Tamandua tetradactyla: one gene and its partners. The protein of the gene in region 1 binds, or shares a complex with, the protein of each later gene. Links are inferred from orthologs where the notes say so. Each region holds a gene or a part of one and is shown in the gene's direction. Other genes may lie near its edges.

The links.
Region 2: the proteins of BAK1 (region 1) and BNIP5 are in contact, whole or in part, in a crystal structure (PDB 8IGC), measured with the Homo sapiens proteins. The link is inferred for Tamandua tetradactyla from reciprocal best matches to the Homo sapiens genes BAK1 and BNIP5. Residues at the interface, in NP_001179.1 of Homo sapiens: Leu78, Ile81, Gly82, Ile85, Tyr89, Glu92, Phe93, Met96, His99, Leu100, Tyr110, Lys113, Ile114, Ser117, Leu118, Ser121, Asn124, Trp125, Gly126, Arg127, Val129, Ala130, Phe134, Ala180, Leu183; in NP_001010903.3 of Homo sapiens: Ile246, Ile247, Gln248, Met249, Ile250, Val251, Leu253, Leu254, Lys255, Arg256, Val257, Gly258, Asp259, Gln260, Trp261, Glu262, Glu264, Gln265, Ser266.
Region 3: the proteins of BAK1 (region 1) and PXT1 are in contact, whole or in part, in a crystal structure (PDB 8GSV), measured with the Homo sapiens proteins. The link is inferred for Tamandua tetradactyla from reciprocal best matches to the Homo sapiens genes BAK1 and PXT1. Residues at the interface, in NP_001179.1 of Homo sapiens: Ile81, Gly82, Asp84, Ile85, Asn86, Arg88, Tyr89, Glu92, Phe93, Met96, Leu97, His99, Leu100, Tyr110, Lys113, Ile114, Ser117, Leu118, Glu120, Ser121, Asn124, Trp125, Gly126, Arg127, Val129, Ala130, Phe134, Asn182; in NP_694535.2 of Homo sapiens: Ile78, Ile79, His80, Lys81, Leu82, Ala83, Met84, Gln85, Leu86, Arg87, His88, Ile89, Gly90, Asp91, Asn92, Ile93, Asp94, Arg96, Met97.

What each region holds. Positions count from the first base shown.
Region 1 is NC_135331.1:89,593,616-89,600,622, reverse strand, and holds the start of BAK1 (bcl-2 homologous antagonist/killer), read left to right. Parts: upstream 1-4,002; 5' UTR 4,003-4,256; intron 4,257-6,237; 5' UTR 6,238-6,268; coding exon 6,269-6,338; intron 6,339-7,007. Other genes in the region: gametogenetin-binding protein 1-like, read right to left, coding at 39-163, 1,069-1,219, 1,440-1,549, 1,977-2,095, 2,604-3,091. UniProt on the Homo sapiens protein: Plays a role in the mitochondrial apoptotic process. Upon arrival of cell death signals, promotes mitochondrial outer membrane (MOM) permeabilization by oligomerizing to form pores within the MOM.
Region 2 is NC_135331.1:93,114,548-93,122,425, reverse strand, and holds the start of BNIP5 (protein BNIP5), read left to right. Parts: upstream 1-4,869; 5' UTR 4,870-5,164; intron 5,165-7,878.
Region 3 is NC_135331.1:93,205,850-93,213,073, reverse strand, and holds the start of PXT1 (peroxisomal testis-specific protein 1), read left to right. Parts: upstream 1-4,215; 5' UTR 4,216-4,218; coding exon 4,219-4,381; intron 4,382-7,224.

The sequences.
Region 1 (7,007 bases):
CCTAGTGTCCTTGGGCAGGGGACAGTGGGCTGGCTTACCTGGCCATCTACGTTGCCCGCCTCCTTAAACCTGTTCAGCCCTAGAATGTCCTGGCTGCTTGCCTTCCAGAGGTGGGATTCCCGTTGTACTGCCAGAAACTTCTCCAGCTCCGACTCCATGAAACCTAAGAGCCAGATAGATGGGTGTGGGACAGGTAGGAGTAGGATGGAGCAAACTGCTGGGAATCCAAGAAAGAGGAGATAGCCTCTGCACTCCCAACCTCATCCCAGACTGGAATGATCCCTGCTCACTCCCCGTCGTAGCCCTTTCTTTTTCCATGACCTGGAGCCAGCCCGGACTTCCCCAGGAAATTCACTTGCCAAGGGCTCCCACCTGCAGAGTATATGGGTTTCAAAGAAGACACACATCTAGCCACCAAATCAGGAGCATTGATCTGGAATCCTAACTGGCCGGGTGCTAGTCCCAGCTCAGTCATTTACTAGCTGTGTGACCGTGGACAAGTTAGTTAACCTCCTGTGCCTCTGTTTCCTTGTTGTGGAGTGGAGATTGCTAATAGGCCCTATCTCACGGAGTTATGATGTGGTATTAGGTGAGAAGTGCTTGGAATGGAGTCTGTCATAGTAACAGCTATGTAAATATTAACCAATTTTATCATGGCACGTTCTCACCACTGAACCAGCTGCCCCCCATGTCTGGGACTGCATGGGGGCGACACTGGGAGAAGGGCCCTCTAGGGTGCTGTCACAGCAATGCATGATGGGAAAACAGAAGTGGCTACCAAATGAGTTAGAAGTCTTAGGCTGAGAAAAAGTTGGTGCTTGAGGAGCTCCAGGCCAAATCGCAATCCCCAAACCCTGAAAGGGAGGAGGAGGACCCCTTTCTTGGTTAAACAGCATGGCCTCCAACACAACTCCATGCTATGTGTGCCCCCCTAACCCCTCACCAACCCACCACGTCTCAGGTGGTCATCTTAGGGCCTCTGGTACCACCTGGTGGTCAGAGCTGGTACTACCTCCCCAGGCCTGGCAGTAGGTGGGGAGGGGAGAGGAAGGAGGGTCCTGCACTTACCGGCTGTATCTGTTGACCTCAAAGTCTTATACAGTGGTGACTGGAAGGTGGCGGCAGTGCCTGGGACACAGAGGTTGAAATAGTTATCTTCTTCCTCCATTTCCTTCTCCTGTTTCTCTTCCTCATGAGGCAAGCCTTCCTTGAAAGGAAACTGAGCCAGGCCAGAGCAGATGAGGGGGCTGGGACTCCAAGTTTGCAGCCCTATGTCTCCCAGATAAAACAGCAAGCAGAAGGCAACGGCTTCCAAAGGGTTAAGAAAGAGGACTGCTGCCCCTGGGCCCCATACCCTGGGACCAGCCAGATGTGGGGGTAGGAAGGGCCCCTCCCAGGCCTCATCCCCTCCCCCCCCAACCCCCGCCCCACTACCCCACCTTAGTCCCAAAGACCTTGGCCATGGCCGATTTCTGGAGCTGCTTGTACAAACTGAGGAGGCGGCTCCAGGGAGTTGTCCCCATTTTTGAGGAGGCTAATCTGAGGTCTCCTGTGAAGGGGTGTTGGTCACTGCCAGGCTGGGGGTGGTGGTGCCCAGGCCCGGGGGTCAGGAACAGGGGAAGTCTGAGCTGGGGGGAGGGTTTTCTTCCTTTAGCAAACACCTATGTGTCAGACACTTTACAAATACTATCTCATTTCATCCTTGCAACTACCCCCTTTCCCCCCACCCCCGCAGAGAGGTAGTAGTATATTCCCATTTTATGGGATGAGAAATCAGAGACACAGAGAAGTTAAGCAACTTTGCCACTGTCACACAACTTGGTGTGGTAGAGGTGGGATTCAAACCCACACAGCCTGGCTCTAGAGTTCCCTCAGACTGTGTCCTGGGTCCTTCCTGGCCCCATACCTTGAGGAGCTCTAGAGGCACAGGGTCCATTTCTGACATCTCTCTGGCTCCCGGGGGTCACCACACTCACCATCAAGCAGACACTCCTTCTCCTCCTCTCCGGTGAGGGCCTTGAACTTGACCTCCAGGGCTCCCATTGCCCTCCGCAGGCATCCTTGTTCCACCTCGAGGGCCTGGGCAAAGTGGAGACTGATCCCAAAGCAGAGTCAGGTGGGGAGTGGGGCTGGTCCCAGAGATGTGGCAAGGGCCCTCGGTGTCCCCGCTGTGCGCTCCCTCAGGCCCTGCTCAGCGCTCTGGTTCTTTGTCATAGAGGGGCTGTCCCTCCTGGCAAGTGGGGAGTGAGGAGCAGAGGGAAAAGCCAGTCCCCTTCCTTACAGGGGATGGGCGTCAGGCCCAGAGGGGACTGGGAAACCAGGAGGGAGAGTGTGGGGAGAGAAGGCAGGGTAGATAGAGCAGGGCCTGGAACAGGAGGCTGGGGAAGACACCGGAGCCCCAGTCCAGCCTGGCACCTTCCCTGCCCAGGCCCTAGCCCCTGCCTTTTGTCTTCGGTCCCTAAACCCCCATCTCCCCATCCCTCCCCACCTAGGTGCTCTCTATTCATCCAAGGACTCCCCTTCCCCATCTCAGGCCATCCCAGGCCCCTTCCCCATCCGTTGCCACCCCCCCCACCCCCATACCCACAGCCCCAACCCCTCACCTGCCTGAGGCCCCTGTGTCTCCACAGGCCTCCCCCACTGCCTCCCCCTCCTCTTCTTCCTCCTCCTCCTTCTCAGACAGGTTGTCCAGCACCTCCTGGCTTCCTCTCAGCAGGCCTGACTTCCCTCTTCCACTCTGGGTCATGACAGGAAGGACCTCCAGAGGGGTGGCGGGCTGGGCCCCCACGCCCCCCACCTCTGCAGGCTGAGGCCCTGGCGGGTCCTGGGAACCCCTGGGCATGGCCACAGAAAGGGCGCAGGGCAGCATGGCAGGCCGGGCCATCGTCAGGGGCACTGCGTCCTGCTCCTGAGAGGGGCGCACACAGGCCCCCACCAGGACCCTGCCACAGCCCCTTGGGCCGCTCTTGCTCCCCACCAGGCTGCGGAAAAAGTGGAACAAGGAGGAGCGGCCCAAAACTCGGGATGGGGGCATCGGAGTTGGGGCCTCCATCCTGAGGGGACCGCGACTCAGAGGGAAGGGCTGCAGCATCCACACCAGGACCAACTGCCTAAGAACAGGAGGAGTTTTCAAATTAAAACCTCCGATTGGAAACTTCCAGGAGTTCTAGAAGGCGGAGGTCGGGCGGTGGGGGTGGGAGGGGGCTTCATGGGGCTTCATGGGAAGTGGGAGGGGCAGAGGAATTGGATGGGGGGTTTGATGAGGCAGGGGCAGGAGGCTTGGTGGGGGGGTGCTTGACAGGCAAATAGAGCAGAGGGTAAAGGCTTTGGGGAGGGAGTGTTAATGGGAGTCCTGGGGGACTGGACAGGGAGTGGACAGGGGGCGTGTGGGAGTGGACTAGACCTTCAGAATGGGGGAGGGGGCTGATGAGGATCACCTGGCCGGCCCTTCCCCGGCCATTTCCATCCCTGAGAACCATTCCCCTCGGCCAGACAGTATCTGCCCTCCTTTCCTCAGCGCCCTTAGCCTCCAGCTCACACGTGCCCAGGTGGGAGCACACACCTCATTATTTACCTGTCCTTCACCTTCATGGGTTCCAGCTCCAAGAACTACCAAGATGCCATTGCAAGTTGAATCTCAACTTATTCTTGCCATTCCGCATGGCACCCACAGCCCTCGTTGATTATAAACCCAGCTCAGTGACCTGGCAGAGTTCCTTAAACCTTCGCCGGAGCCTCGGTTTGCTCCTCTGTGAAATGGACAGAGTTGGCAGTGTCTACTTGCAGGGGGTGTTGAGATTATTCCACGAGACAAAGTGACCGCTAAAGGACATAGCACGCTGGGGACGCTTAAGAAAGCCATCGTGGCTTTCTCTAATAGACACGGATTGATGGAAGGGAGAAATGATCGAGGGCTGGGGGCCGGCGCCGGGAGAAGCCGCTCCGCCCCGCGGGCCGTGGGGTGGAGGGGGGAGCGCGGCCCGGGCATCCGGATCCGGCGGCCGCGGAGGCGCTGCCTCTAGAGGGAGCTGACTGGAGCTGGGCACAGCCCACACCTCTATGATTTCCCAGCCGCTCGCGCCCCTCCGGCCGGCGGTGACAAGCAGAGGCGACATCCCGATGCCGGGAGCTCACTGACGCCGGCTCCTGAAGCCCGGCCTCGGCACCCCTCTCCTGGGCGCGGCCGCTGCTCCTGGGGACCTCCGGCCTTGACCCTGCGATCCACCCCACCGCTTCTGGACCAGAGTCGGGGTTAGGTATGCTGGGCTGGTGGGGGTGGTAGAGGGGAGGGGGCGTCCTGCTCATCCTGCCAGCCTTTCCCCATCCCGGCCCCAGGCCCAGGGTGGGGAGGGGGAGAGCTTCAGGGCTTGTCCCAGCCACTCCGCTACCCCTTGCCTCTGGCTGGCCCCTCAGACGGTGTCTCCTCCTGCCCCTGCTATGGGTGCCTGAGAACTGGGTCCTGCAGCGGTCTGGGGATTGGGGGTGGGGATGGGGGGTGAAGTTCAGAGCCAAGGTCAAGGTCAAGGCGAAAACATCCACAGTGCTTCCTCCTGCCCTAGGAACCCTAGACTGGGTCTGGGGCCCTGGCCAGGCATCTCCCGTGGGAACATCCTGCCAGGGTCACTGGCCCAACTAAGCCAAGCAAATTGGACTGGGGGGATTCCCTTTACCAGGAAGTTGGGCCATTCGGAATGGGGACAGGGGGTGGTAGAGGCCGCTGGCCCTGGGGGCCCTCCTGGGGCTACACTTGCTCCCCAGCTGTAGGGAGAGCTAGGGGTATGCTCAGCATCCTCCATCCTTGCTGACTTGGGGGTGTGGGATTTCAGAGGCCCAGGGAGAGGGAAAGGCATCTTTTCCAGGAAGGAGCTGCGGGTGGGGGGTGGGGGGCGGTGCCAGGCAAAAGTCTGTCCTTCCTGGCCCAGGGGAAAGGAGAGTCTGCCTAAGACATGCCCTGAGGGTGGAGTGGAGGAGCTCTGAGTGATTCAGCCCCCTTCCCAGACAACTTTGGGGTACTTTTGAAAATAGCCCCAGGCCTAAAAGGGAGGAGGGTATGGGCACCCAGTTAGGGACGAGGGAGTAGCCCTGCTTGGCTCAGGGTGGGGTTGTACCCTCCCCAGGGACAGCAGGAGGGGCAGCTTTCACTACAGTGATCGAGGCAGCTTTGGGGAAAATGTGGCTCTGGAATGGGGTGCAAATTGAAAGTGAAACAGCACATATCCAGGAAATACTCTTTCTCTCGGGTTCACAGAGCAGATCCAGTGGAGCAGGGCAGCTGCCAGGGCAGGGTAATGAGGAAATGGGGCTGGGGACAGAGCAGGTATGTGGTGGGGAGCCCGTGGCACTAGTCAGTATAGGGAGCAATGAGGAAGACCCTGGCTCCCGAGGACTTCCTCAGCTCATCCGGAGGCAAGAGTGGGGAGGGGACCAGCAGGAAGTAGATGGGGAAAGTTGCCCTGGAGAGGATACCTTATGAGGTACACACACACACACACACACACACACACACACACACAGGAAAATCCATTTTAAATGAGTGTTGAGTTTATGGACTCATGGAGATTCAGGACACCAACCTGAGTTTTCCTGACTAGCTATGGGGCCTCAAGCACTGATCTGCCTGTGCCTCACTTTTCCTACCTATAAAATTGGTATGACGATGCTTACTTTGCTGGTTAATATGACTTTTCAATGCCCAGGGCCCAGGGGGTGCTCATAAGCGGTAGGGGTACAGTGTGGGGGTGCTCAGGAAATGTTTGTGGCTTACAGGCCTGAATTGGAAAAGCAGGTGTGCCGTGATGGGCCAAGGGGAAGTGGGGCCTTCAAGGACACTCCTTCATGGGTCATTGGCTAGGAGGTGACAAGCCTGTGGTCAGAGTGTGCCGGGCCCCTGAAACTAACCTCCCCCACCCAGGAGTGAGGAGAAACATGACCTCAGAGTCACACTGGGGTGCAGAAACCTGGGAGCAAATCTTGGCTGAACTCTTAGTGTGTCTTTGGCTGCCTCCCCTCTTGCACCCCCTAGGGTGTTGCCAGTGAAGTGTCCATCAATTTCTGATTCTGCCAACAGACTCTGCTGGGACCCAAGCTGGTGGCATAAGAGAAGTCTGGAGCTAGGACTCAGGGTCCTTCCCGGAGTCAGGCAGCCTTCCCTGCTGTGGGGCCCTGGGAACTATGCTGGGATTCCCAGTCATGACTTCCTGCTCATGCCCACATACTTTTTCTCACCCATCCCCACAGGCTGACACTATCCTCCACCCGGGTCTGAAAAATGGCATCTGGACAAGGCCCAGGTCCCCCCGACCAGGGATGCGAAGAGCCTAGCCCATCCTCCACTTCTGGTAAGGGCCCTCCTGCCCCCTCACCATCCCAGAACTACTGGAGCTACCTGAGCAGAAAAGGGCAGGCTCTCCTGCCTCAGTTTCCCCACCTTGGATCAAGGAGGAAAAATACCTCCCCACCCAGTGGAGGTGGCCTGTCAGGCTCAGAAGCCAGGTTGCAGTCAAGGTTAAGCCCAGTCCTTTGGATTCAGGTCACAGCTCTGTCACTGCTTCCCTATGTGACTTTTCTAGGCCTGAGGTCTTGGTTTCCAATCTGTTTCCCGTGTTCCCCAAAGACATGAGGGCTGGGTACCTGACACACACTAGACGGACGCGGGCCAGGGTGGGTCCAGGGGCTGGGAGAGCACATGGGAAGATGGGCACTGCGCCATCCCAGGGCGTAACCCTGACTCCACTCCAGCTCCCTCCAGGGACGGGATCCGGGATCAGGGCTTAAAGGAGGAGGAAAGAAGCCTTGCAGTGGGAGAAATAAGGAAGTAAATTGGCTTATCACTGAGTTAGGTCTGCTAAACAAGAGAATGCAATTGTTGTGACTTTGGGGGAGGAAGTAAGAGGGTTGTCCTTCTACCCTCTTCCAAGGAAGCCTAGAGCTCAGGGCCCACAACTAACCAGTCCAGGTAGCTCTCTGGACTTTGGGTTCAGATCCCAGCTCTATCACTATTTCCCTAT
Region 2 (7,878 bases), about 3.5 Mb from region 1:
GAGAATTATCCAGCCCAAAATGTCAACAGTGCCAAGGTTGAGAAACTTTGGCTTAAGTCATTGTTGACAAGGTGCTGGCAAAGTTTTCTTTACTAATACATGGAGTGTGAGAGCTTGGCTGGAGCCACGGGAGGGTGAGTGGACCAGTATCCACTTTAGGGCGCAGGAGAGAGGAGTGAGGGGAACCATTCCAGCTGATTTCATTCATAGCACACTGTTAGGCTTGGAGCAAGTTCCGTGAAAGAGCTGCAGACTCCAGCACTATAGGCAAGACCTCAATGTGGGCTCCTCTTGAGCTAATGCTGCCACTTCCCATGCTGGGAGCCCGTTCGGATCGCATTATTTGAAGTCTCTTGGCAGGCTTGCAGGGTTGATATCATTTGTTCCCATTTTACAGTTGTGAAAGCTGAGGTTCAGAAGAACAGAGGTGTGCTGTGCTTTGGAGACTGACTAACAGATTTTAATCTACTGCTTGCTAGCAGGGCCACTTTTTGAGCATCAGTTTCCTAATCTGTAAAATAATGTATACTTTATAAATGTTATCGTGAGGGTAAAAAATAAGTAACGTTTGCAAAGGCCTTTAGTATAGGGCCTGGCACATAGTAAATTTATCACAGGTGGTTGTTGCTACTGGAATTACTCACGATATTATTACTGAGTTTAACTGGCCCAGAGTCACCCACTTGGGAGTTGAGGTGCTGCGGGAGCAGGTCCCCCTGAGTCACCCCAGAACAATTGAGGAAGGGGGGATACTGGGAGACACTGAAGAGACAGGAAAAGTCCCCGAGCAAGTGAGACTGCATGGGAATTGAGATTTCCTGAGCACTTTCATTGTAAGACATAACTTCTGTCATCTTATATACCAACCGAAAGAATATTCTGTAATTTCCTTCTTGCCGGGGGCTGGTGTGGAGGTGGGGGTGGGGTGTCAGGGGACCTCGGTCCTCGGTACTGACCTGGCTGGGGAAGGGGTAAAGCCTCTGCCTTTTGGGTGCTTCTCGCCGAGGAAGGAAAGAAGACACAGACAGGGTGGGGGCTGGACTTTGGATTGGGACCTGGCCCTGGATTCCAGGTAGAGGGTCTGGACCTGGAAAGGAGGGTGTGTTCTCACACTCGCGGGTGCCCTTTGCTCCTGAAAGTCATCAAGAGCTGGCATAATTATTTCCATCATGTAAATTCTCTTGCTATGATTTCTGGGAAGCTGAGTTTCAAACTCAGAAAGGTTGTGAAAATTCTTCCCTTAAATATGTTACTGAGAACAGCTCCACCAATCACTCCTGAGGCTGAAGCACTCTACCCTGCTCTAAATGTGGTGCCCCCTTTTCATCCCAGACCCTGCTTATCTTTTGTGTCTCCGTGTGGCTTACCCAGTCCACACAAGAGAGTGAATAAATAAACATACAACCTCTCTGGGGGAAAAAAATTCTCTGTTTTGTGAATGCAACATTTTTCCGTTTCACGGTCACCGCCGGACATTTGAGTAGTTTCAAGTTTTTGGCTATCACAAATAGCGCTGCTCTGAACACTCTCATAAAAGGTGCTGCTTTGTTTTTCTTGGAGGGGCACGTGTGTATGTATTTCTGCTCTGCATATATTTAGGAGTGGAACTGCTGAGTCATAGGGGCTGTCTGCTCAGCTTTGGCAGATGCTGCCACGCAGTGTCCCAAAGCGCCTGTATCATTCTCTGCTCCCACCGGTGGCGTGTGAGGATTCTGCAGCCCCACGGCATTGGCAGTCAGAGAACGTGGAGCGGCAGCTACAGGCCCAGGATGGCTGAATCTCACAAGCACGAGGCAGAGCGAAGAAAGCCAGACCTAAAAGAAGAGGTGCAGCCTGGCTCCTCTTTATATAAAGCTCAGAACCTGGCGAACTGAATCTAAGCGGCTACAAGTCAGGGTGGTGGTGCCCACAGGGACACTGCCTGGAAAGGGGCATGGGGACTGGGTGGGGGGTTCCTCTGGGGCTCTGGGAATGTCGATTCCTACTCTGGGTGCTGGTGACACAGGTTTATTCCCCTTTGACAATTCCTCGAGCTGCATACTTAGGAGTTTTGCCCTTTTCTGTATGTTCCACTGGAAAAATCATTTCAAAAAGGATCTTCAATCTCCCTCTCTCCTCCCTCTGCTGTGTTTTCTCACAGCGTTTGGTTGGGAATGTCCATCCGGGCCCCTACTGTGGCCGCTTCACCAGACCCCCCTCTGTGTCTCTCCTTGAAATTCGTCGTAGTTTTCAAACAAAAGGCCCTGCATCTTCACTGTGCATGGGGCACCCTATATTATAAGCCCTTCCTGGTGAGGGACCTTCTTAATAGGGACATGATGACTGCTCCTCTTGCAAGAACTAGGGGTGAATATTCCTACAAGTGATGTGGGATCACAGGTGCCTACATGATGCCTTTTGAGCTGGATTCATGATTTTCTCTTTGTGTGTCTGTTTCCCCACCTCCACTATAAACTCCAAGAGGGCTGGGCCAGGCTAACTCACCTCTGAACAAGAAAGAGCACATACAGTGTGCATGAGGCTTGAAGGAAGGGTTTAACTAATACTGTTTGTTGTTTAGCCTCTTGTTTGAAGCCTCCATCACCTCTTAGGTGAATGAATTCTCTGTACTCAGTGCCGAGGCTGCTGGCACACAGTTGCATCCCAAACTTGTTTGTTGACAGAATGACTGAAACACTAACAACTCTCCTACCAAGAATAAGGTATTGGCCCTTTATTGGCAATTTACTAGGTGCCAGGCACTGTGCTAATATGTAGAAATGTGACTGTTACATAGAAGGCATGCCGTACATTTTCTTCTTTTGGTTTTCTATTGTCTCTTTTCTTGCAAGCATGAGGACATTTGGCCCTCGCAATCACCCTGGTTTTCTAGGTGAGGAAACAGGCCCAGAGATGTGTGTCTGTTGCCCAGGGCCACACAGCTGGCAGATGGTTCCAGGTCTGAGTGAGGCCAAAACTTGGTGCTTCCAGTCTTTTCTTTTTATTATTACATATTAATTAAAATTTTTTCATATTATCAAATCAAAACAACATATAACGAACATTCCTAACATACAAACGTTCTGTGCATGGTGTTCAATTAATGGCTTACAATATTATCACATAGTGGTATATTCATCACCATGATCATTTTTGAGAACATTTGCATCACTCCAGAAAAAGAAGTAAAAAGAAAAGAGAAACAACTCGTACATCCCATGTCCTTTCATTGTTCACTAGTATTTCCATCTACTCAATATATTTTAAACTCTGTTTCCCCTTTTTTCTTTCTATACCCCTTACCATTACCTTTCATTGTTCACTAGTATTTCAATCCATTCAATTTATTTTGACATTTGTTCCCCCTATTATTTATTTATTTTTAATCCATATTTTTTACTTATCTGTCCATACCATAGATAAAAGGAGCATCAGACACAAGGTTTTCACAGTCACACAATCACACTGCGAAAGCTATATCATTATACAATCGTTTTCAAGAAACATGGCTACTGGAACACAGCTCCACAGTTTCAGACAGTTCCCTCCAGCCTCTCTAATACACCTTAAACTAAAAAGGGAATATCTATAAAATGCATAAGAATGACCTCCAGGATAACCTCTTGACTCTGTTTGAAATCTCTCAGACACTGATACTTTATTTTGTTTCAGTTTTCTTTTTCCCCTTTCAGTTGAGTCAGTTTTCTCAATCCCTTGATGTTGAGTCCCAGCTTTTTCTAGGATTTCTGTCCCATGTTGCCAGGAAGGTCCACACCCCTGGGAGTCATGTCCCACGTAGAGGGGGAGGGCAGTGAGTTTGCTTGTCATATTGGCTAAGAGAGAGAGGCCACATCTGAGCAACAAAAGAGGTTCTCTGGGGATGACTCTTAGGCCTGATTTTAAGTAGGCGTAGCCTATTCTTTGCAGAGATAAGTTTCATATGAACAACCCCCAAGATTGAAGGCTCAGCCTATTGATTTGGTTGCCCCACTGCTTCTGAGAATATCAGGAATTCTCCAAATGGGGAAGTTGAATTTTCCCCTTTTCTCACTCTTCCCCCAAGGAGACTTTGCAAATACTTTTTTATTCATTGTTCAAATCAATCATCTATCTTTCTTTCTGGTTTCATTTGTGTCACCAACCTTTCTCCCTTTATCATTCTCACATTCAGGTACTTCCAGTCTTGACTTTTTATTGTCTCCCAGGTCAATGAACCAAAATAGGATTTCAAACATGTTTTGCTTTTGTTTAAATAAAGCTAGCTTTTAAATTTTCTGATTATAAACACATGATATCTAGCTATATATACATATATATATATATGTATATATATATATATGTATATATATATATATATATATATATATATATATATATATATATATATATATATATATAATAATCCAGACTCTATAGTAAATGAAAATCTGACTTGTAAGACTTCTTAGAATGTTCTCTAAAGAGTCATGGCAAGCCTGGCCAGAAATAACAAGATTGGAAAACACAGTCCTTATCAGCTCTTACTTCTGAGTCTTTAGTCTCTAGGTCAAGGAATAAACATGCTCCCCAGTCACCTCTCTTTCTCAATCCTTCCTTCCCTGCTGACCTTTCACGACAACCAAGTGAAGGTGGCGGAGGTGATAAAGCTACACAGAAGCAAACCTCCTCCTTCTCCCCACCCCTCGCCTGCGTTTCCCATAAACGCTTGTTTATAATTCCATGGACTGGTCTTCCCCAAGCCAGGCCTAAGGTTGTTTGCTCAGAGGTTGGTTTCTTCTTGGGGTTTGGGTGCAATAAGGAAGTTGTCAAGTGAAACTGTTTTTTTTCCAGGGTGGCTGAGCTAAGCCTCCTATCACCGGAGGAGAAGGAAGGGGCAAGGACCAGGTCACAGCAGGTGGAGGAGGGTGGGCTGGCCCATGGTGCTTTGGATTGGCTGCCCGTGAGTGAGCTCAGCTCCTGGGTGAGACGATTTATATGACTGAAAGCATCTTCTGAGACACTCTGAAAACTGGCAGCAGCAATAGCAGCATCTTCTCCCTGGGAGAGCTGGGCCTGACCCTTTATCAGACACCCCTTCCAGCCAACAGGGAGAGTGCTGAGTCACCGAGGGGTGCCCGACGCAGAGCAGGCCAGGGGAATCTCAGCCGACCGTGTCCTGGGACAGGAGCAACTTCTGTGGTCCGAGGTTGGTTGAACAATACCCTCATCTTTGGAGGTTGGAGCATTTGGGTAGATATCTTGGCATACCGAAAAGAGGGTAGACCCTGGAGACAGACTCTGAGTCCAGCCCCAGTTCTGCCGCTGGTTTATTGGGCCCTCTATGGCCCTCGGTTTCCTCTTCTCTGAAAAGATGGAGCAGGGTTCAATGAAGAGATCTCAACCGGATGTCACCTGAGAGCTCTGAACTCACCTGGAGTGCGGTGTGCTAGCCAAGCAGCCCTGAGCAAGAAACTTAATTTCCTGAGCCTCCCGTTCCTAGTCTGCAGAATGCGGGTCCGTTACATGTCTGTCCCTCTGGTTTCCTTGTAGGATGTTGTAGAGGTGGAGTCAGAGTGTGTGTCAAGGGAAGACTTACATAAACAGGAGGTGTTATTGCCTAGTTCTGTGCTCTTAAGATTCTCGGCAGTTAGTCTAAAGAGAAGGGGCTCTTATGAAAAGAACTGGTGGCTTGATTCTCTGCTAGGAGATTTTTTTGGGGGGTGGGGGGTGGATTTTAACTCACCATTTCCATCCCGCGCCCCAGGCAGCAGTTGCCTTGTGGTCTTGGATAGAAGACAAGATGGGAGTGGATGTGGAGAGAGGTAGGGGTGGGGGCGCTTCCTGAGCACACTCTAGGAGTGGGGTGGAGGGAGCGGAGATACTTTTCGGAGTTCTCCAGCTTTTTGAACGACGTCTGCACTGCTCCCTACCCGAATCTGCCCCGCTAATCTGTCACAGTTTCCCAAGTTCATGGCTGTGACTTTCCACCCTGGGGACTCTGGGTGTGAGATGGTTGTGGGCCGGCGGTGCCAATGAGAAGTAGATTGGGAGCTCCTGGTGCGGCCCTGGCCCTCTGGCCCACCCACAGCGGGTAGGTTTCCTGCCCAGTGGTCTGTGAACCCCGCCCCATGCTCACAATCTTTGGTTCTGGGCCACTGATGTCTGTATCTGGACACACGTGGACACCTGACTCTACGTGTACCAGCCCCGGTGAGGGTGTGTATCGATAAGGTTATTTCTGTCGGGATGAAATAGCAATCATGCTCATGGGTAAGTCCCTGTGTGTGTATATGAGTGACTGTATTTATGGGAGGCTGCTGGGTATTGGAGGGAGAAAACAGGATTAAGAATCAGGAGAAGTGGACTCAAGTCCCAGGTTTCCACTTCTTGGTGGTATGGCCTTGGGCATGTCTCTTAATTGCTCAGAGCCTCAATTCCCTATTTGCTAGCTCCTTGGATTCCCAGGGCCGTGACAGAGGTTAAATGAGACAATGCAGATAAAAGCTTTCTCTGGATATTGCATGGGGCAGCACAGAGTTGATCTGACTTCACGTCTGTCTGCATACCTGTGCGTGCTTCATGTGCGTGTAAACATGGACATGGCGCTGAGCCATGCAGGCTGGGTCCTCCTTCCTGCGAGTTAGAATTCGACAGGGAGGCAGAGGGCAAATAGCTCCATAGATAATTTTCCTCTTACAATTGGGACCATACAAATACAATTTAAATGGCATGTTATGAGTCCGTGTTGGTTTATATGGGGTGCATGCATGTTTTGTGGGTACACTTCCACTACGGATGTGCAACAGGTCGGTTATTTCTTAAATACCTTTTGGGTGTCGCCTACAGAGGTGGGGCAGGGAACGGTGTGAGAGAGCAGTTCCAGAGCAGAGGGGCTGGATAAGGAAAATAGAGATGCGTATATAGATGATGTCAGTGTACAGTTTAAAGAATAACCAAAAAAAAAAAAAAGCAGCATATTGGGGATAAAAATAACCAAACTTCCTGCTCCACAGTAGTTCAAGGTCAGTTTTGTGTGCTTTCTTTGGGTTGTTTGTCGTTTTCATACACCTCACGGGAACACGTCATGTCTTATCAGAACTCATCTGCTCTGCAGACCGGTTGGATATTTCTGAGTTGATTTGGACTTTGCTCTGAAGTTCACTCTCTACCAAGGCAATAAACAAGTTTACTAGAACAGCTGGGTTTCCCTGCACTGATGATCTACCGCTGTCACAGGATCACTGGTCTGAAAGCATGTTCTGGACAGGGCAGGATTTCCTGACAGTCAGGTCAGCGCAGCTTAGCCCACAGACAGAGCAGGGGCACAAAATGAGTAAAAAGAGGAGAGAAAAAAGAAAGTTCTGTCTTGATGAATTCTGGATAAGCAGAATCTTGACAGCCAGAAAATCTAGAAAGACTTAGTTTGGGTATATATAGAAATTGGGGAGGGGCTGATGTGAAAGCATAATCTTCTCCGGGCTCAGGGACTTTAAAAAGCTGAGGACAAAGAGGGTCCTTCACAGGGCAGGTGGGTTTGCCTTCCCGGGCCAACCACAACTCCTCAGAGGAGGGGCGGTCAGAGACGTAGGAGGAAAACTGAGCTGAGTTTGGTCTCAATCACCAACAGAGGAAAAAATCGCAAGAAGCAAGTGGACATAGTAGCAAATGCTGCAGCACCTTTTAGTGGGATGGGGGATGAGAAGAGGTCACTGGATTTGGAATTAGACCTCGGGGGAGTCTGGGATTCTCTCTGCACTGGGGAAGCACCCCTGTGATAGCTGAGGCTCCAACTCACCCATCTTGTCCTCTCCCTGCCTCCAGGGCTGCAGCAGCTGCTGGGTTTGGTTACCCTCCCTAACTTCTCTCATCCCCCTCTGGGCTCAGGGCACTCGTTGCTCTAGGGAGGAGGGGACCAAATCT
Region 3 (7,224 bases), about 3.6 Mb from region 1:
AATTCCAACCTATCTTTTAGGTCTTTGCTTGAATGTCATTCCTAAATGAATCCTTCCTGACCATCCAGACCAGGTTAAGTCTATCCCCCAAGATATATTGTCACAGCATTTACCACGATTCTAATTAAACATATATGCCTGTTTTCCTTCCCCCAAGATATATTCTCACAACATTTACCACAATTCTAACTAAACGTATATGCCTGTTTTCCTTGGTAGACTGCTAGCTCCATGAAGGAAGGAACTGTCTGTTTTGTTCAGCTACTAACACAGTGCCTGGCATTCAGTAGGAGATCAATAGTTTTTTCTCTCTGTAAAGATCTGTAGCTTAATTTACATTTTTACCACCAATAATTAGGGTTCAGCAATTTCATTTTTTTTTTTTGGTTCCATTCATTCTTTTTTTTTTTTTAATACCAGAAAACACCAAACAAATGCAAACATTTGTATTTTGATCATTCTGTTCTATATATATAATCAGCAATTCACAATATCATCACATAGTTGCATATTCATCATCATGATCATTTCTTGGAACATTTGCATCTACTCAGAAAAAGAAATAGAAAGACAACAGAAAAAAAAATTATACATACCATCCCCTTACCTCTTCCTTTCATTGATCACTAGCATTTCAAACTAAATTTATTTTAACATTTGTTCCCCTATTGTTTATTTCTATTCCATATGTTCTACTCGTCTGTTGACAAGGTAGATAAAAGGAGCATCAGACACAAGGTTTTCACAATCACACAGTCACTCTGTGAAATCATTATACAATCATTATACAATCATCTTCAAGAAACATGGTTACTGGAACACAGCTCTACATTTTCAGGCAGTTCCCTCCAGCCTCTCCATTACATCTTGGTTAACAAGGTGATATCTACTTAATGCGTAAGAATAACCTCCAGGATAACCTCTCGACTCTGTTTGGAATCTCTCAGCCATTGACACTTTTTCTCATTTCATGCATCCCCCTTTTGGTCGAGAAGGTTTTCTCAATCCCTTGATGCTGAGTCTCAAATTCTTCTAGGATTTCTGTCCCATGTTGCCAGGAAGGTCCACACCCCTTGGAGTCATGGCCCACATAGCCAGGGGGAGGGTGGTGAGTTTGCTTGTTGTGCTGGCTGGAGAAAGAGGCCACATCTGAGCAACAAAAGAGGTTCTCTTGGGGGTGACTCTTAGGCCTAATTTTAAGTAGGCTTGACGTATCCTTTGTAGGGTTAAGTTTCATATGAACAAACCCCAAGACTGGGAGTTCAGCCTATAGCTTTGGTTGTTTGCACTGCTTGTGAGAATATCAAGAATTCAACTTGGGGAAGTTGAATTTTCCCCCATTCTCACTATTCCCCAAATCAGCAATTCTAGTTTTTATGATTACTAGTTATTATTATAGAAAAACCTATTTTATAGTATGGACTACCATCTATAACTGTATCTCCAAATTTATTTTTCCATCAACATTAAATTATGACATACTGACCAAAATATAATATGAACTCAGATTAACATAGTGTAATTGTTTTCTATTCCTTTTCTATTGCTGCTGTGACAAATTACCAGAAATTTAGTGGCTTAAAATTACATAAATATATTATCCTGTGGTTCTGGAGGTCAGAATCTCAAATGGGTCAGCAGGGCTGTGCTCCTTCTGGAAGTTCTAGAAGAGAACCTGTTTCCTTGCCCTTTTAAGTTTCTAGAAGCTACCTGAAATCCTTGGTTAATAGTCTCTTTCTCACATCACTCTCATCTCTGTTGTCATAGTCACATCTCTTTCTCTGACTCCGACCCTCTTGCCTCTCTCTTATAAGGATCCATGTGATTAAATTTGGCCCACTCAGAAAATCCAAGATAATTTTCTCATCACATTTTACTTAATTTAATGACATCTGCAAGATCTACTTTCCCATGTAGGGTAATATGTATACAGGTTTTGGGGATTAAGATGGAGACATCTTTGGGAGACTATTTTTAGGCCTAGCACACAGAGACAGCAAACTGTGGACCCATGATGAGTTAGTTGCTGCAAGAAATGATAGAAACTTCATTCACTTATATATTAAACTTATCAAAACAACCATGAAGTAGATAAAATAAATTAAGTGAAAAATGTCAAAAATATATATTGAAACGATAAGCAAGATACTATCATAGACTAATGATTATTAAATGGCATCATACATCAACTCAGTGGTTGCCGAGGCTTCCATGTGTAAATCCATTATCATGCTTTTCTGAATCCTGGGATTTCCTGAGGTTTTCAGGTAGGCACACCATTTCCTAAAGGTACTTATTCAATAATATTAAAACCTACATACAAGAGCATAGTGTTTTTCTTACATATATTTAAAAATAAATTTTAGGTGAAAATATCATTGGCATTGATTTTTTATTTGATAAATACCTGTTAATATCCTGCAGAATTGTTTGGGGAACATAATACTATAATAAAAACCAATTTTGAGGAAATCAAGTCTAGAATTCTTGGTTGTTAATTTTAAAAGGCCATTTTTAGACATTTTATTCTCAATTATCTACCAATGTGATCTAATAATTAATATAAAATGACATTTCCACTACAAGCTGATGGGTAAGGCAGCAGCTGGCTTTTTCAGATAAGGATCTCACTGGCAGCTGGACCTTATCAACTTTGCCTGAATTAGGATTTGATTTTATCAGTTCATATAGCTCTAGAGGATAATTCAAATAATCAAGCTTAAGAGGATGTCAGTTTATTGTTTCATATGCAAGAATATAACTGCCAAGATTAGGGCTGTATTAGTTGGAGAGTATCCCTTTTCCCAACAGAAAGTTTATTGGAGAAATCAGATTAAGTCAGAAGGTTGCCTGATGAATATAGTGAAAATGTCAGGCTGCCCAAAATGCCAGGAACCCGCAAACCTTCCTCCCACTGCTCCCTCCCCCTCAATCTGGGCCAAATCACAATCAAAATATTGAAGTAGCCTTCTATACTGGAAAATGTGGTACATTTGAAAAATGATGAGTCAGAATTTTACTTGATGATCTTTCCTGGGTTTTTTTGTTTGTTTTTTATAGCTTAGATGGCTGCTTATTGCCTTTCTCTCAGTCATTTCTCCTCAATCCTAGGCTACTTTCTCTAAAGCTGAGCTGTCCAATACAGTAGCCACTAGAGACTACTGCACAATTGAAATGTGGCTAGTCTGAATTGAGATTTAAGTGTAAAATACATTCCAGATTTTGAAGACTTAAACTAATAGGAATGTAAAATACCTCATGATTGCATGATGAAGGGTAACATTTGGATTTATTTTGGGCTATACTGGGTTAAATAAAAGAGATTATATAAAAGTAATTTCACCCTGTTTCTTCTTCTTTTTTTTAATGTAAACACTAGAAAACAAAGTTACATATGTGGCTCATATTATCCTTCTGTTGGATGGCACTGATGTAAAGACTCCAAAAGGCCTCCTCTGTTACCTTCTTTGGTTGCTCATTATGGTCTGACCTTTTCTCTTTTCCTTCCCTTTCCGGTAACTGCTTAGAGTTAGAGGGTAGAATGGAAAGTTGAACTCTATGACCAAGCTTCGAGTCAAGAGAATTAAGCGCCCAGGTAGACAAGGAAACTCTTAGTTCAATTCTCCATCGCATTAGATTGATGCTACAATACTAGGAGGGGAAAAAAAAAAAAGGAGCAGGGAGACTAACCTTCATTAGCATCCGTAGAGATGGACTGCACATGGAGAATTAAAGAATACTACAAGAATCATTCTGGGCTCAAATTCACACACACGGACACATTAGCATACACACACAAACATGAGGAAGAAGAACAAAAGAATATATACTTTACTCTTTTTCACTTCTCTAGGTTTTTAATCCATTTTTCTATTGGCTACACTGATTTGTCTCCTTTTTCTTTATATAGCAATTAAGACTTGTCTCCTGATTTGGAATGAGGCTATTGCAAAAATGAAGAATAACTATTGGGAAATGACGATGAGGGATGGTGTACCAGATCTCAAGATCAAGCAACATAGAAAGATGATGTAGTATCTAAATTGAAAAAGATCTTAGAGGTTACCTAATTCAATCTCTCATCCCAATTCATAATCCTTTTTATATAGACTAAAAGTGCCTCTATCGTTAAAATATCAATATTCATCTAATATATCATCTAGATACCTAAAAGTGAAGGAAATGTTTTAAAAATATTTTTTCCAACAGGGAAAAAAAATGAAGATGAGAAAACATGATGACATTGTTTATGAACTTAAAGAAGTCCTGAATCCCTCTCCTAAAGTAACAAATTGTTGCAAATCACTGTGGGTGAAATACAGTTTTCAGAAGGCATACATGACCAGACTTGTCAGCTCCCAGCCTGTTTCAGCCATGTCAGGTAAGATATTGTTTGCATTAAACTAAGATAAATATTCTATTCAGCATGTATTTTTCTTAGTATCAAGAACATAAAATTGGGCATTAAATAATTTTTTTAAATTAACTGTAAGAAGACACTGGTAAATGTATTCATTAAAATTCTTAAAGTGAAAATCTAAAACTGACTTTGCTTCGTGGTAATAAATCCCTTAGATTCTGTTAACTCTGAATCTTCAATGTGAAAATTAAGGTTGTCCACAAACAACTAAAATAGAATCAAAATGATCTTTTCACAAAAATTGGTCTTTAAATTTAACCTGACAATGCTTGCATCGTTAAGGTAAAGAAAATTCAGATTAGGTCCCTTCTTGATTTTTCCAATATAGGAAAGAACATGAAGGGAAGATAAACTTGAAATTTTGTTTTGCAAAAGTATGTGATAAATACATGTCCCAGAATGTTGGAAAATTATGTTTGAAGAGCATTAAAGGAGAGCGTTAGGAATGCTTTATGGGGTCTTGGGCTTTTAGTTAGATTTAAAACATGCCAGACACTTGAAAGGAATTATTAATCTCAAACTAATCATCCAATTTTTTTTTTTTTTTTTAACATGGGCAGGCAGCAGGAACCGAACCCGGCTCCTCGGGCATGGCAGGCAAGCACTCGTACCTGCTGAGCCACCGTGGCCCGCCCTAATTATCCAATTTTAAAAGATTTACATGCCATCAAGAATGTGGAAATTCCAAATGGCATCCGTTTTCTGGAAAGTACTCAGTTGACTAAAGTTTTGAATTTTTATCTGTGCAGGTGTCAGCAACAGTTATTTCTCAAAGCCTGATATTCAGTCAGCCATGAACACTTTCTAGAACTTGGGTTTTTTGCGGGATTAAAAAAAATTGAGTGTAATTCACATACCATAAAGTTTAGCCTTTTAAAGTGCACAATTCAGTGGGTTTTAGTATATTCGCAAAGCTGTGCACCCACCACTTTAGGATTTACTCTTTATTGTAAACCCTTTCCAGTATGTTCTCATGCTCACTAAACCTACTGATTTTCCTTAAGAAGCTGATGGGTCCCTTCTCAGGTGCCCTGTGGGTGTTTGAGGCATTTACTTAAAATGCTTTCTCATTACACTTTTATTTAAAAGACAGAGGCAGAGTGGTAAATGAAAGCGAGGGGTAAGGGGTATGGTATGTATAATCTTTTTTTCTCTGTTATCATTTATTTCTTTTTCTGTTGTCTTTTTATTTCTTTTTCTAAATCGATGCAAAGTGTTCTAAGAAATGATGAATATGCAACTCTGTGATGATATTAAGAATTACTGATTGTATATGTAGAATGGAATGATATCTTAATGTTTTGTTAATTTTTTTAATTAATAAAAAAGTTTAAAAAAAAAAGAAAAAGAAAAAAAAGAGGCAGGGTGAAAAGAATTAACACCAGTAGATTTGACTTAGTAACAAGCAGCAACTTAGTCTACATATTTGTTTTTATGCCTAGAAATCTCATTTTTGTTTATAAAACCTTACTTGCGGCTGGTTTTTAGTATTAAATGACTGTCAAGTCGAAACAAGGATTCCCCAATTAGAGATGGCTGCAGACACAAGCTTCTCGTTTCCTTTACATACTTTCCCTGGCCCGGGAGACCTCGGTTTTCTTAATATTCAGGCAGCGCACGTTTCTCCCCTCATATTTTAAGATATCGCTGAAGGAACTGGGGATGTGCAGACTGAAGGAGGCGAGGTGAGGGGGGGGGCACGGAGTTGCCATCATGACGTCGAGAGCGCCAAAGGCCGGATAACGCGAGGCCCACGGCAGCGTAATCTCAGGAGCCCGCTTCCCCGCCTCCAGCTCCCACCAGTCTCGCAGCGAGCAAAGCGCGCGCCGGCCTGTCCGCGGGAGACCCGGCTCGGCCCACAGGCCGCGTAGTGCGCGCTCCCTATTGGCCACAACCGGCCCACGTGACCTTCGCCGCCCCGCCGAGCGCGCGCTCTTCCAGGCGCTGGAGCGAGCCGGGGCGGGGTCCTCCGGCCTAGAGCAGGCTGAGGAGTGGGTAGTGGCTCAGATCCCCGAGAAAGCTCGGTGGCAGGGAACCTTGAAAAGAATAAAGAAACCCCTAAGTACTGCCCGTAGTAAAATTCTTACTGAGGAAGCCGATTCATGAGGAGGTTCCCCTCTCCCCTCAGTGGCTTCTGTCTGGAGCTGAGGCCAGAAAATAGGAATCACAAGCCGTTCCTGAGGGCTAGAAAGGGACTGGGTGGAACCAAGGTTTATCTCCGTTACTGTGGGGAAATCTATACCCGGAAACATAATCCTTTGGAGAAAAATACGTAATTTCTCCAAATACGTGGGGAATTTAAGGCCACTTTTCTGAGAAAAGTGGAGGGGGTGGGGTCGTGGGAAGTCCAGGGATACCGTCCTTACACGCAATTTAAGGGAAACTCTAGGGAAAGCAGAGATGAGTAAGAACAAGAAGTGGTCCTGCCCATCGTTGCCCTGTGGGGGATGGAGTGACGTTAAAGGGCTTGAAAATCACTATAAAGAGTTTGTAGAAAGTAAATAGAAAACTTTAATTTCCAGGGACTTTTAGGAGGTATTTTTTCCCCCAACATTTATTTTAAAAAATTAAATCTAAAGAAATGTAAGAACAAATCAATGGTTGCTCCCTTCGCATGGATTCACTAGGTTTTTTTTTACTTTTTAACATTTTGTCGCATTTATTATATCTTTTTATCTCTACACACGCATACACTTTTCTTTGCTCAACCATTTGAGATTAAATTGCAGACGTACTGACTTCACTTTAAATAATCCAGCATATTTCCTAAGAACAAAGATATTTTTCTTCATAACCACAATACA